Drosophila melanogaster: one gene and its partners. The protein of the gene in region 2 interacts with the protein of the main gene of each other region in a biochemical or structural test. Each region holds a gene or a part of one and is shown on either strand. Other genes may lie near its edges.

Evidence for each region.
Region 1: of the proteins of dco (region 2) and ci, one has a biochemical effect on the other in vitro, tested with the Drosophila melanogaster proteins (one study listed by BioGRID).
Region 3: of the proteins of dco (region 2) and per, one has a biochemical effect on the other in vitro, tested with the Drosophila melanogaster proteins (4 studies listed by BioGRID, with this or other methods).

The regions. Positions count from the first base shown.
Region 1 is NC_004353.4:54,616-58,372, forward strand, and holds the start of ci (cubitus interruptus), read right to left. Parts: upstream 1,717-3,757; 5' UTR 1,254-1,716; coding exon 1,216-1,253; intron 1-1,215. UniProt on the Drosophila melanogaster protein: Has a dual function as a transcriptional activator and a repressor of the hedgehog (Hh) pathway. The full-length ci form (ciFL), acts as an activator (ciA) while ciR, its C-terminally truncated form, acts as a repressor. Involved in segment polarity.
Region 2 is NT_033777.3:31,059,610-31,063,366, reverse strand, and holds the start of dco (discs overgrown), read left to right. Parts: upstream 1-2,156; 5' UTR 2,157-2,290; exon of another isoform or gene 2,291-2,902; 5' UTR 2,903-2,992; intron 2,993-3,757. UniProt on the Drosophila melanogaster protein: Serine/threonine-protein kinase which is involved in the circadian rhythm pathway, viability and planar cell polarity.
Region 3 is NC_004354.4:2,683,823-2,687,579, reverse strand, and holds the start of per (period), read right to left. Parts: upstream 2,001-3,757; 5' UTR 1,680-2,000; intron 1-1,679. UniProt on the Drosophila melanogaster protein: Essential for biological clock functions. Determines the period length of circadian and ultradian rhythms; an increase in PER dosage leads to shortened circadian rhythms and a decrease leads to lengthened circadian rhythms.

The DNA of each region.
Region 1 (3,757 bases), on a different chromosome or scaffold from region 2:
TATAATTTTTATGTAAACGCCAACATAATTTTCTTTTGGCTAGCTTCGATGTTAACATAGCAATATCTTTGAATGCAGCGTTTTAAATTCAAAATTAGATTACGACTTCTATCGATATTTAAAAATTATTTTTTCCACGCTCGCTCTTAACCGCAGAAACGGGCACGTCCGCAATTTCAAAAAGAGAGAATGCTATAGTCGAGTTTCCCGACTATCAGATACCCGTTACTCAGCTAGTGTGAATGCGAAATTGCACAATTTTTCTGGGATATCGATAGATAAAAGATAAAATGAGAAAAAAAATTAAAATATGTTGTCGGCAAATCGATATAAACTTAAATTTATAATAAATAATAAACTAATAAATTTATGAAAAAAATTCCCAACAATTTTTTACAAATGTGGGTGTCGGAGTTTTGGGCGGTTTTAGGGCGTTGGCAAAAAGTTTTTTTTTAGAAATCGATAGAAATGTAAAAGACTAATCAGAATGTGAAAAGAACAACACATTTTTCAAAAGTGTGGGCGTGATAGTTTTGCGCTGTTTGTGGACGTTAGAGTGGGCATGGCTACTTGCGTCTTTGTCTCTGTATGCTGAATCTAAACCTTCTAGCTTTTATAGTTCCTGAGATCTCGACGTTCATACGGACAGACGGATATGGCAAGATCGACTCGGCTATTGATCCTGATCAAGAATATACATGTATGTATATACTATATATGGTCTAAGACGCTTCCTTCTGCCTGTTACATTCATTTCAACGAATCTAGTAACGGGTATAAAAATGTTTATTATTTATTGATTAATCATAAAAATTATAATAATAGTAATTATAATAATAATAAACATTTTTATACCCGTTAATCGTTATTATTATTATTCTTTTTTATTGTTACCATAGTTATTATAATTATTAAAATTATTATTATTATTTTTATTATTATTATTATTGTTATTATAATAATAATAACAATAATTATATAATATATATATAATTATATGTAATTATATATAATTATTATAATAATAATAACAATAATTATTGTTATTTTTTATTTTTTTAATTATTTAATTATTATTATTTAATTGTTATTATTTAACTTACACATTTCTAAACATTTCATGGACTGTAATCTTAAAATTCCTCGTTTTAAACAAAAATGTAGATATTTTTCTATTGTAAGGCTTACTTCTCGAATATGCAAATAAAAACTTACGCAAGAGGAAAATATGTAGGTAACGCGTAGGCGTCCATTTCATTAAAGTTAGTCCACAACAAGAATGACGTCGTTTTATAAATTCAATTATCCTTTTAAATAATATTAACCGTCGGCGTAAACATTTTCAAAAGATTGGTATTTCAAATAACGGCACGCATAAATTTCCACTTTTGATCGGCAACTTAAACAATTTTAAGGAAACTCTTTGATTAAAAAGTTGGTTTTAAATTTTAATATTTAATATTCATATCACTTAAATATTATAATGGTGTGAGCTTATGCGCTCGGCTTCCTAAGTAATGAAGGGTATCGCCAAATCTCACACGTATATTCATAAGATTATCAGTCCCGAAGTAATATATTTATCACTAAATATTAAGTAGCGAACAATGAAAATCAGTTTTGTAAGACAAGTCAATATTTTTTGAATGCTGCGTCTTATTCCTATGTTTCTTACGAGTGGACTGAGCGACATTAACACTAGCTGTTGCAATGCTTCGTTAGTTTAGATGGAGCAGTTCGGATCTCCTCTCACACATGCCATTGTCCAAACACAGATACTTGTACAGATTCTACATAGATACGTGTAGGTTCACAAACATAAATACAATACAGTAACAAGTGCATTGGTGATTTAAATGTCTGTGTGTACCTACGGATCACGAACAGTCGGCGAAGGCGGGCAGATCGAAGATGGCCACACAATACATATACTCGTACGTGAGTTAAGATACTTTTCGATGCCAGTGCTGTTAATATAGATATTTTTACGCTAGTAGTTTGTGTCTCTCAGTGGGTAATTTTTGTCCTCGGCGATACAATATTATTTTTAAGCAAAAAACGCAAAAGTTATTGGCAACGCCTATCTCTATATACATATACACACATACATATATATATATATATAGATTAATCTTACAGTAGCTTGTACACCCGATTCAATCTTGATTTTGGCTATCTCGTTGATATTTGTACCCATTATACCCAGTATATCCAGTATATTAAAATACAAACATGTATTTGTAGTCGTATTTATCTATTATAGCCTTGCCCTTGCGAATAGCATTCTTGATGAAAACATACATAACTGTTTTCTATCCTATCAAGACTGGTTTGGTGTAATATTTGCGACACAGTATTTTTGCACTCAGTGTACTTAATGCATCGAATTTTTACCCCTATCTTATGGGTATATTGGGTATACTAGTTTCATTAAATAGTATATGATGTTAATAAGGTAGTAGACTCGGTAATCTAACAATCCAACAATTAAAATGTTTCCAACCCCTTGGGTATGTGGTTATAGCAATGTTGATGCTTAAATAAATGTTACTTCTGGCAGCGCTTAAATACTTGTTTATAAATTTTGAAAATTAATATTTCGATTGCAACACTTCGCCCCTTAGTTCTGTATTGGTCAATTCAACAACACTGTCTTGAACCAAATTGGATTTATAATTTCCGACACGATATTACGTACGGGCATAACTAGATTGATTCGGCTAGGGTCAATCAATTTCTTTTATCTGATATACGGCTTTAACCTAGACGACATTTTGCGGTCTAAAGACGATCTAGGTGAGTATAACGACAATGTTTTAAACAAAGCAATATAACAAAGTTTATAAATTCATGTCAATCAATGTTCTACTTTAATGATGGAAACGCGTCTATTTCCGAACTGCATTAGTAATTTTGGCTGTGTTTATTGAAAAAGGTATTTAATAGTAAAGACACACTACTTAAAGAAAAATACAATTTCGGAGACTTGTTTGTTCATAACGCGTGTAATTAAAAAAAAAAGCGACTTGAACTATTAAATATAATTGTGCCTAGTACAAGATAGCTTTGGCAAGCCACAGTTTTGATAAAGCTACATAATTAGTCGTCAAATTTAGTAAAATTTATCGAATAAAGTGGAGAGCATAATTATTTTCATTATGCCATTAATATTCAGTGAATATGGCTGTCCAAGAATATTCATATGTACTTTTTGGTGGCATCTGTCTTTTAACCCCGTCTTTAAAGGTGATTTTAACTAGTTAAGTTTTATATTAATGGGTAGGTGATGAAGTTATACTGATAATTTTTGGTGTTTTTGAAGAAATAAACTGATAATATATTTAATCTCAAAAAGAGGTATTTTGCAAACCTCCAAGGGTTTTGTAATTTGTGATCGTTCGAAGTGGGTATGACTTTTTTTTGGTACATCACTTTTAAAAGTCACTTTTAAAAGGGTGTGACAGTCTTCGGCAGTTTGTGGCCGTTATATACTTTGCATCGTATGTATATATGTACATATATTTTATACCGAACAAATATTTGTTATGACAAAATTTTTTGTATAAATACCATAGTATATTTTATATTATGTTACTATACTTTAATGCCTTCTCGCCCGTGTACTCGTAGTGGTTATAATATAAAATAAAAGATTCAAAAAGTTTGTATACCCAGTTTATTTCAATAATAATAAGGAACATTAAGAAAGCCACATCCTTTCTTTAAAAAAAAATTCTGTTTTTAATTTAAGTATGTA
Region 2 (3,757 bases):
AATATTTGCGCTGTATAGGAAAAAAAATTAGCGCAGGCAAATTAATTTTTCCCCCACTTTTTATGTTTCATAATCAAACTGGAGCAGAAAGGTCGAAATGCATCTGAATGCGCTCGTGGGCGGGGGGCGTGGCGGCGGATGCGACGACCGCTTGACAATTTGCGACTTGCCATGAAATCGCATTATTTGATCTAAGCCGCCGACGAGCAAAAAAGGAAATACAAAAATCTTCAAGCCGACTGCTAAACGAAACCAAATGGCGCTTTTTTTAACTGCTGCGTTAGAAGCAGAAGCCCAGGGGCGTCGTGCAAAAGGGGGCGGGGCAGTGGGAGCCGCGAGGAGCTGGAAGCGCCCAGATATGCGACATGTGTTGCGGAAATATTTTGCGAGCAAGAAAAGCAGCAAGGCGCAGAGTCAGGAAATATGCAAAAATACAAAAGGGCACTGCAAAAAAATGAGTGATTAAAGTTTTTCAAATATTATTCAAAACCAGTACCAGAGGCAGCTAAGTCTGTCGTCTGATTCGTATTTTTATTTAAAGAATAATATCAAAAACAAGTTTATATTGCGTGTTAAAAAAAAATACAACAAAATTAGGAAATAAATTGTCTTAGTATCCCAATAATGTGGCATACTTTTTTACAGTGTTCTTTGAATGGATCATTTACATACACGCGTCTCGCTCGGTTTTTATTGCTTCGCACCTACATATTTGGTTTACTTTTTTCGTTATTTATTTGTTGGTAGTTGACCATCGGTCGAAATAACGACGATTTTCATTCGTCGGCGATCGCACGTCTTTGCGTGTGTGAGTGGGAAAGATATGCTTTGAATTAGTGTGTGTGTGTGAGCGGTTAAACGAGTTGTTTTCTCGTTTTACTTGTTGTATCTTCAATTGCCTCGTTGGATTGCTTTGTTTTCTCTTTTTCCCAGCCAATGGGAGACAAAGGCGGGTTTTTACGAAGATCTTGAACGATTCACCAATAAATTGAAAATGGAGATTTCTATAGTTGCATAAAAAAAATGCATTCTGGCTAATGTATATAAATACAGCAATGGAAAATTAAAATCGTAGGCAAGTGCAATTAATGTGATTTATTTTGTCTATATTTCATTTTAAATTGCCAGCCCCAATATCGAATCGTTACACTCTTTTCACCCCTTTTTTTGTTATCATTTTCGAGTGATTGCTTATCTACCCTACCCCCACTTAAAAAGAAACACACCTTGGCACATACTCCCAAAAAAAAAAAAACACATTTTCTCATATATGCATACATAACTGGATCTGCTTCCTTTTTTTATGTCATCGTTTCTTGGGTTACACAGCCGGAAAATGCACGATGTGAGGGTAAATGGGGAAAGCGGTTGGGCGGACTAATGGAATTCACACGTGTTTTGCTTTATTCGTATTGCTGCAATAAAAGTATACGTTTCAGGTATTTCGATACATCTGTGTAACATCAAAATTGGCATGCTACCTATAACTGCAAGACATGCCAATGAAATCCATTTTCAATTTCTATTTACACGAGAATTTGGAGCACAAGCCTGTAAAAAGAGTTAACAACTTTTCTTAAGAACATTGCAAATTAAGACATAAATTTTATTTACATATTATTGAGTTATCAAATTTGTATATTAGTATAAATATCATTTCAGAATGATTTTTTTTTTTTTGTATTGTTTATTGTATTCTCTTTGAAAATAAAATTAAGCAGATGGGCCTTTGAATGCATAATTCAAAAACTTTCAATAACTTTAGATATTTTCAATTGCATTTCTGAAATAAGGCGCCACCTTTTGTTTCGGGCGCCACCTGGATACCACTTTCGCCAACTCATCCGCTAGGTGGCGCAGCTCAAAAATATTTTTCGTCCATCTGGCAGCACTGGGTCTATGTAAGAACTAGTGTGCCCATATAACAAAAACAGCGTTGTCAACTTGGCTATTTCACAGCTTTCCAGTTACTCGAACTTTGAACTTATGGCTAGCTGCAAGGATATAATTTCGTTTTTCTTTTGATTTTCCAATACTCTTGCGCTATTTTCTTAATGTGGTACTTCGAAACCAACTTTGGACTATCTTAACTTAGTATATGAATCACAGTTTTTCACAATTACATATCTTCTAGACATTCGCTGAGGAGTAAATACCAGATGGTAATTTTCTTCATTATCGGCGCGGTCACACTGCGAATATCAAGATGGCGTAAATTTGTAAAAAATCGTCGAAATCTATGTGAAATAGCCAGAAAAATTGAAACGAAAGCGCAGCGTTGATGCAAAACGTAAGTGGTCAGTAGCGTTTCGGATCGACAGACCCGTTTGCGAGCGAAAAAGCGGCGGTTACCACGCGCAGGAAAACTCGAATTTCCCAACAGCATTTCAGTGCTCATTGAGAGTGCGAGTGTGTGAGTGAGTGCCCTCGTCTTTGTGTTGGTGTGAAAATGCTGAAGCAGGAGGGATAGCAACGTGCTCGCGGTAGAAACCGTGCGAGTGCGGGCGGGACGACTAGTGTGCACGAATCTATTGCCAGGGCAAACGACTCGCATAAGTTTGGTTTTTTTAATAAGAGTCCGAGTTCCGTTTGGTTTCGTTTAATTTTCTCGAGTTGATTGGCAACAAGATGCTAATCAATGTGGCCATAAAATCAGAGAAGAACAGCATAACCGACTCGAAGATAAACGATAAAAATAACTGAAATATGGCAGCAATGCAGTATTATTAAAATTATTGCATAAAATGCGCTTGCGTGTGGCCCCAAAAAGTGCGACTGTGTGCGTGTGTTTGTGTGCGACTGTGGCAACTACAACAAAAACAACGTCTGGGCTCTAAAACAAAGAAAATGAAAATTATTGTGGCAGAATCAATCCAATTAAAAAATTCGATTTCGATTTCAGTCGAATTAGAAGAAGGAAAAGCAGCGTCGCCAGCAGAGGAAGTGGGCAAAGCGGAATAGGAAACAAGGAATATAAGAAAAACAAGCCACGGTAAGTGCGGAATTTGTTCCACTGTGCGTTCAAGTTTCCCTTCTCCACCCGCTATCGGCTGCTCCTTATCAGCCCCGTTATTCGCAGTGCATTCGTGGAGTGCCGTTAGTTTTCGGAGGCCATTAGCGTTTGACAATTAATTGCAAGTTTCCTTCCCCTTCTGAGGTTTCCCCGTTGGTTTTGCTCTGGTTTTTGGTTTTTCCATTTGCTCTTCCCTGTTTACTTAAGCTTTTTACTTTTGTGGCGCCTGCTGGAACAACTGTTTTTTGTATCTTCTTTGTTCTCCAGTGCGTTTTTTTGCGGAAGCTTTTCGGCAGCCGCCAACGCAACGTGCAGCTGTTTTGCAATTGTAATCAATTCGTGTTTACCCGCTGGTCCGAAACAACTGCTGGATACCCTGGGAAATATTTAGTTACCAATAGGAAAGACCGCGTTTTCCCTGCTAGCCTTCCAGTAAACAAATTAAAGCTCCTAAAATTAATACCACATTTCAATTTGACTTACAGTGCTTATACAGTGATTTCTTTCTGTGTAGAACATGGGAGATACAAATAAAAAACGGTACATTTCGGTTAAATAAATCAAAGCCAAGGCGAAAACAACAACAAACACAGGCAGGTTTTGAGGTTAGAACCGCAGAGTGAGTGATAAAGAGTCGGGAAAAGGAGGAGAGAGAGAGAGAGAGAAAGAGAGAGAGCGATCGAAATGCGTGAGCGGTAAAAGAAAGCGCACAGAATGTGGGAAAGAGGAGTGGGAAGGGGTTAG
Region 3 (3,757 bases), on a different chromosome or scaffold from region 2:
GTATACTCTCTGCCCGGCCCAGACTCAGAACGATAGATAGAGAACAATGTCGCCCACACGGTGGTTGCCTGCAACGAGGCTTCACTGTGCTAATTAACAGCGCAGCGGGAGCGAGAGCGAGACGGCGCGACGCTGCATTCACGTGCAGTGCGATGTGCTTTTGCTCTCGCGTTGCCTCTGCCGCTCCGCCAACGGATGTCGTTATGCAGTCGCAATGCATCCCGGCTCCAGATTCGCAGATACGTACTTAGATACTTAGATACGTGTAGTGTGTAGTTCAGAACCATGTACCCTGTACCTCAGTAGAAGACACATTCTTTTCAGCAATTTTGCAATTACAAAAAAAGAACGCAGCGAAGAACTCATATTTCTCACAATGCACCACTATGTCGTAATCGGTGCATATAGCAAGCATTCAATTCGGCAAGGAGTTCGGTTTCAGCGATTGCATAAGACCCAGGTTCATTCTCTCCGATTTGGCTGAATCAACTAAACCCAAAAATACTACACAGACACACAGGCATTAGGGTGGACCCCATTCCAGGCTCTTCAGAGTTTCCATTAAAAGCAAAGATAACCAAATGGGCCAAGTAAACAAGCTGATAGTTGTTTCGACGGCCCAGAATTCAAGAAGAAAGAATTCCAAAGAAGGTGAAAAATTCCATTGGATAATACCATTTTTTTGCCCAACAAACTGGCTTCCAACCGACTGCTCAATCTGCCCAAATCCTTCAGTTTATACCCACCAAGGATTGTGTAACTCGCTGGTTAACCCAGTTCGCATCCCATATGTGGGTGAACTTTGACGCAGCAAAGCAAGAAGGCCAACTGGTCGAATCGAATCCGCCGCGATGCCTCTGGATTGCTGGATTACATTGGTCGTGCGTCATTCCGAGGATGTTAGATAATGCAGCACAGGAAGCGCGACAGACATGGATAACAGTCGCATAACCCGGGGGCAAGACATACTGGGAAAGACTGTGGGAAAATTCGGGGCACGAATGGGAACGTTGAGCTATTAATGGTGGTACTCTGTTTAGCTTGTGTAACGCGACTGCGACTGCGGCTATCCAAATCGTAGGGGTTTTAATAGACATTCCAAATTTGCCAGAAATTACTGCGCCCACGTGGCGTGTGTGCAGCAAATAAGCTGAAAATACCAAGGTGCAATGCCCAAAAGGGAACACGCTGCGTATGCGCAATATGCTCTGACCCAGATTGGATGCCGGGCATCGATTAGAGCTATGTAGCTACATATATGAATGAGTTCACTTCACGTAGGCGCAGTGTGCTGCAGTACTGCACTCCAGGTGACCGGAAGGCAAGCGGCTGCAGTGGTGCACCACGTTGCGTATGCGTATTCTGCGGCCAGAGTATGTTTGTTTGGCACTGCAAGGAAGGAAGTGGTGGGGCATTCCCGGAGCATTGTTCGGTAGGGTCAGGTATTTTGATGTGGGCTTTTGTTTACGCTTTGCTCGGTGTGCAACGTGCACTTATTAATAAACACTATATGTACATATGTGTAAGTGCGCCATTGGACGTTATGAACCGAGTTATTTATGTAAGCTGCCTGCCCAATGCGTTGTTTTGTATTGGCAATATGATAATGGTCTATCTAGCGCCTCTTGCTGAGATTTTTCTTTGCAGCTTTATTGCAACAACGTGACAATTGCACTTACACACTCGCTCTCGCTCTCACCCAGCTGCACTTTTTTGCGATTAGGCTGCGATTAGGCTGCTGCTGCCTTCTGTTTGGAATCTCACTTATGGTCTCACTTTTTGGCTGTGGCTATATGTCACTCAGCTCGATACACTTGACACTAACACTGGCACCAAAGAATAACGGTTTGTTTCTGGTCGAAATTAAAAAAAAAAAAACGAAGCTGTTTGTTTGCGTGATTCGACAGGTCGTTGTTGCGATTTATTTGGTATATGGCAATACTTTCTACTGTGCGACGAACGCGTTGTCGACCTTCTGGCTCTAAATTCGCACGAACACTAGTGCTCGCATCGCAAGCTCCGGTGTATAAGCCCCCGTGCACTCGCATTCCCAGAATTTTCTCACACTCACTCGCTGCTCTCCGCCGTCGCTGAGAATCGCTGGGAATCGCAGTCGCTCGGGAAATCGCTGGTCGGCTGAGATACTCGGACCCAAACATTAACCCTTGGGCGAAGCTTTTGCGCGAACAACAAAAGCAAGTAATTGGAATGCCAAAGACTCCCTTTTCCATAGCAAGAAACCCCATTTATAGATTGCTATAATGTTGGATATCTTTCTTTTTCATAGCTTCTATTGAATACTAGTTTCTTTTGGTTTTTATCTATGCTGTGGGATACGTTACATGGCACTGCCGATGCCAAGTGTCAATCCAAGCCCCACGCACCAACTGCAGGTTAAGGAAAGCTATGGAATCCCCTGCCTTTTTGGGGCTGCCTGGTGGGCGGCTGGCAGCACGTTTTCCGAGGGGTGTTTTCCGGGGAGCCGGCTGGGCGGCGGATTTGCTGGCCAAGTCACGCAGTTCGCCACGTGAGCGGCGGCTTTTCACTGCCTACGGCTTTCTCGGACGCTTTTTGCACTCGGACCCGTCCCTGCCCCACCATGAATTGTGCGAACTCGCACTGGCACTGGCATTTCGCAACGGCATTACTCACCCACCCACCTGGTCATCGTCCAAGTGCGGCCAGCAGTGCACCAGAGCGCCAGTCCGCAGTCAACGCAGTGCATCGGTCTAGCAGCTCGGCTCTCTAGCACGGATGAAAAGTTGAAAGTGGCGCCAAGCTTTTGGGGGCTTCTGTTTCCCGTTTGTCCCGTGGAAGCTCTACCTGGGCAGGTGTGCGCGGCGTGCGCTGAAACACGTACGGAGTGGGATGATAGCGACAGCTGATTTTCCCTGGCTTTTCCGCCTCCGCCCAGCTGGCTGTTGCGCGCTGTGGCCCACAGGTGGCGTTACACATACCTGCCAGCAGGGGATTCCCCGTCTTTCCACGAGGGGTTGATGAACTCCGAGCGGTCGAGTGGTTCGGTTCGATGCTGATACTACTGCTATGCAGTTACAAATGATTATTACTTGCAATTTCTGTGCATTGAATTTGGCTTTTAGTCTTCGCAATTGAAGGGTTAAAAGTTGAGGCATCTGATAAATAGGAAATGATTTTAGCTACCCCCTCATAAAAGCATATTTTTATGGACCCCACAACTTCTTTTTTTTTCGGAGCATTTTTTATTATCCTAATCCGATCGAAGTGCCCAAGGATGTCTTTATGCCTTATCAGCCGTCCCATCGGCCTGCGGTGGCTTTGAATAATTGAATTCTATTAATTGGCGGCTTTGCCGACGTCGAGTGGGTGTGAAAATCCATTTGACCCGGCACCCACTCCACACGCAGCTCCTTTGTGGCCACGTGTGTGGTGTTTGCCCAAGCTAGCCGGAGTTTGCTGGCATTTGCTGGGGCTCGCTCTTATCTATCGCGGCCACACACGTGCCACAAAGTCACAGACGCCTGCCCGAAAATGATAAAGTGCGTTCGAATTAGCCACCAAACTGCTGCTAATTTGATTTTGATGCTGCGACTGTTGACTTGCCGCACTTCGCCACTCCCCGTCGCGTTTTGATGTGCTGTGATTTCATTTGATTGCCGCTAATCGGATTCCGGGTGGTGATTTCGGGTGAGTGTCGGTCGGACTGTGAGCGGGATTAGAGCCGAGTTCCCAAGGCCCACCCTTTCAACGTCCAAGTGGCGTAGGTCCGAGGACCTGT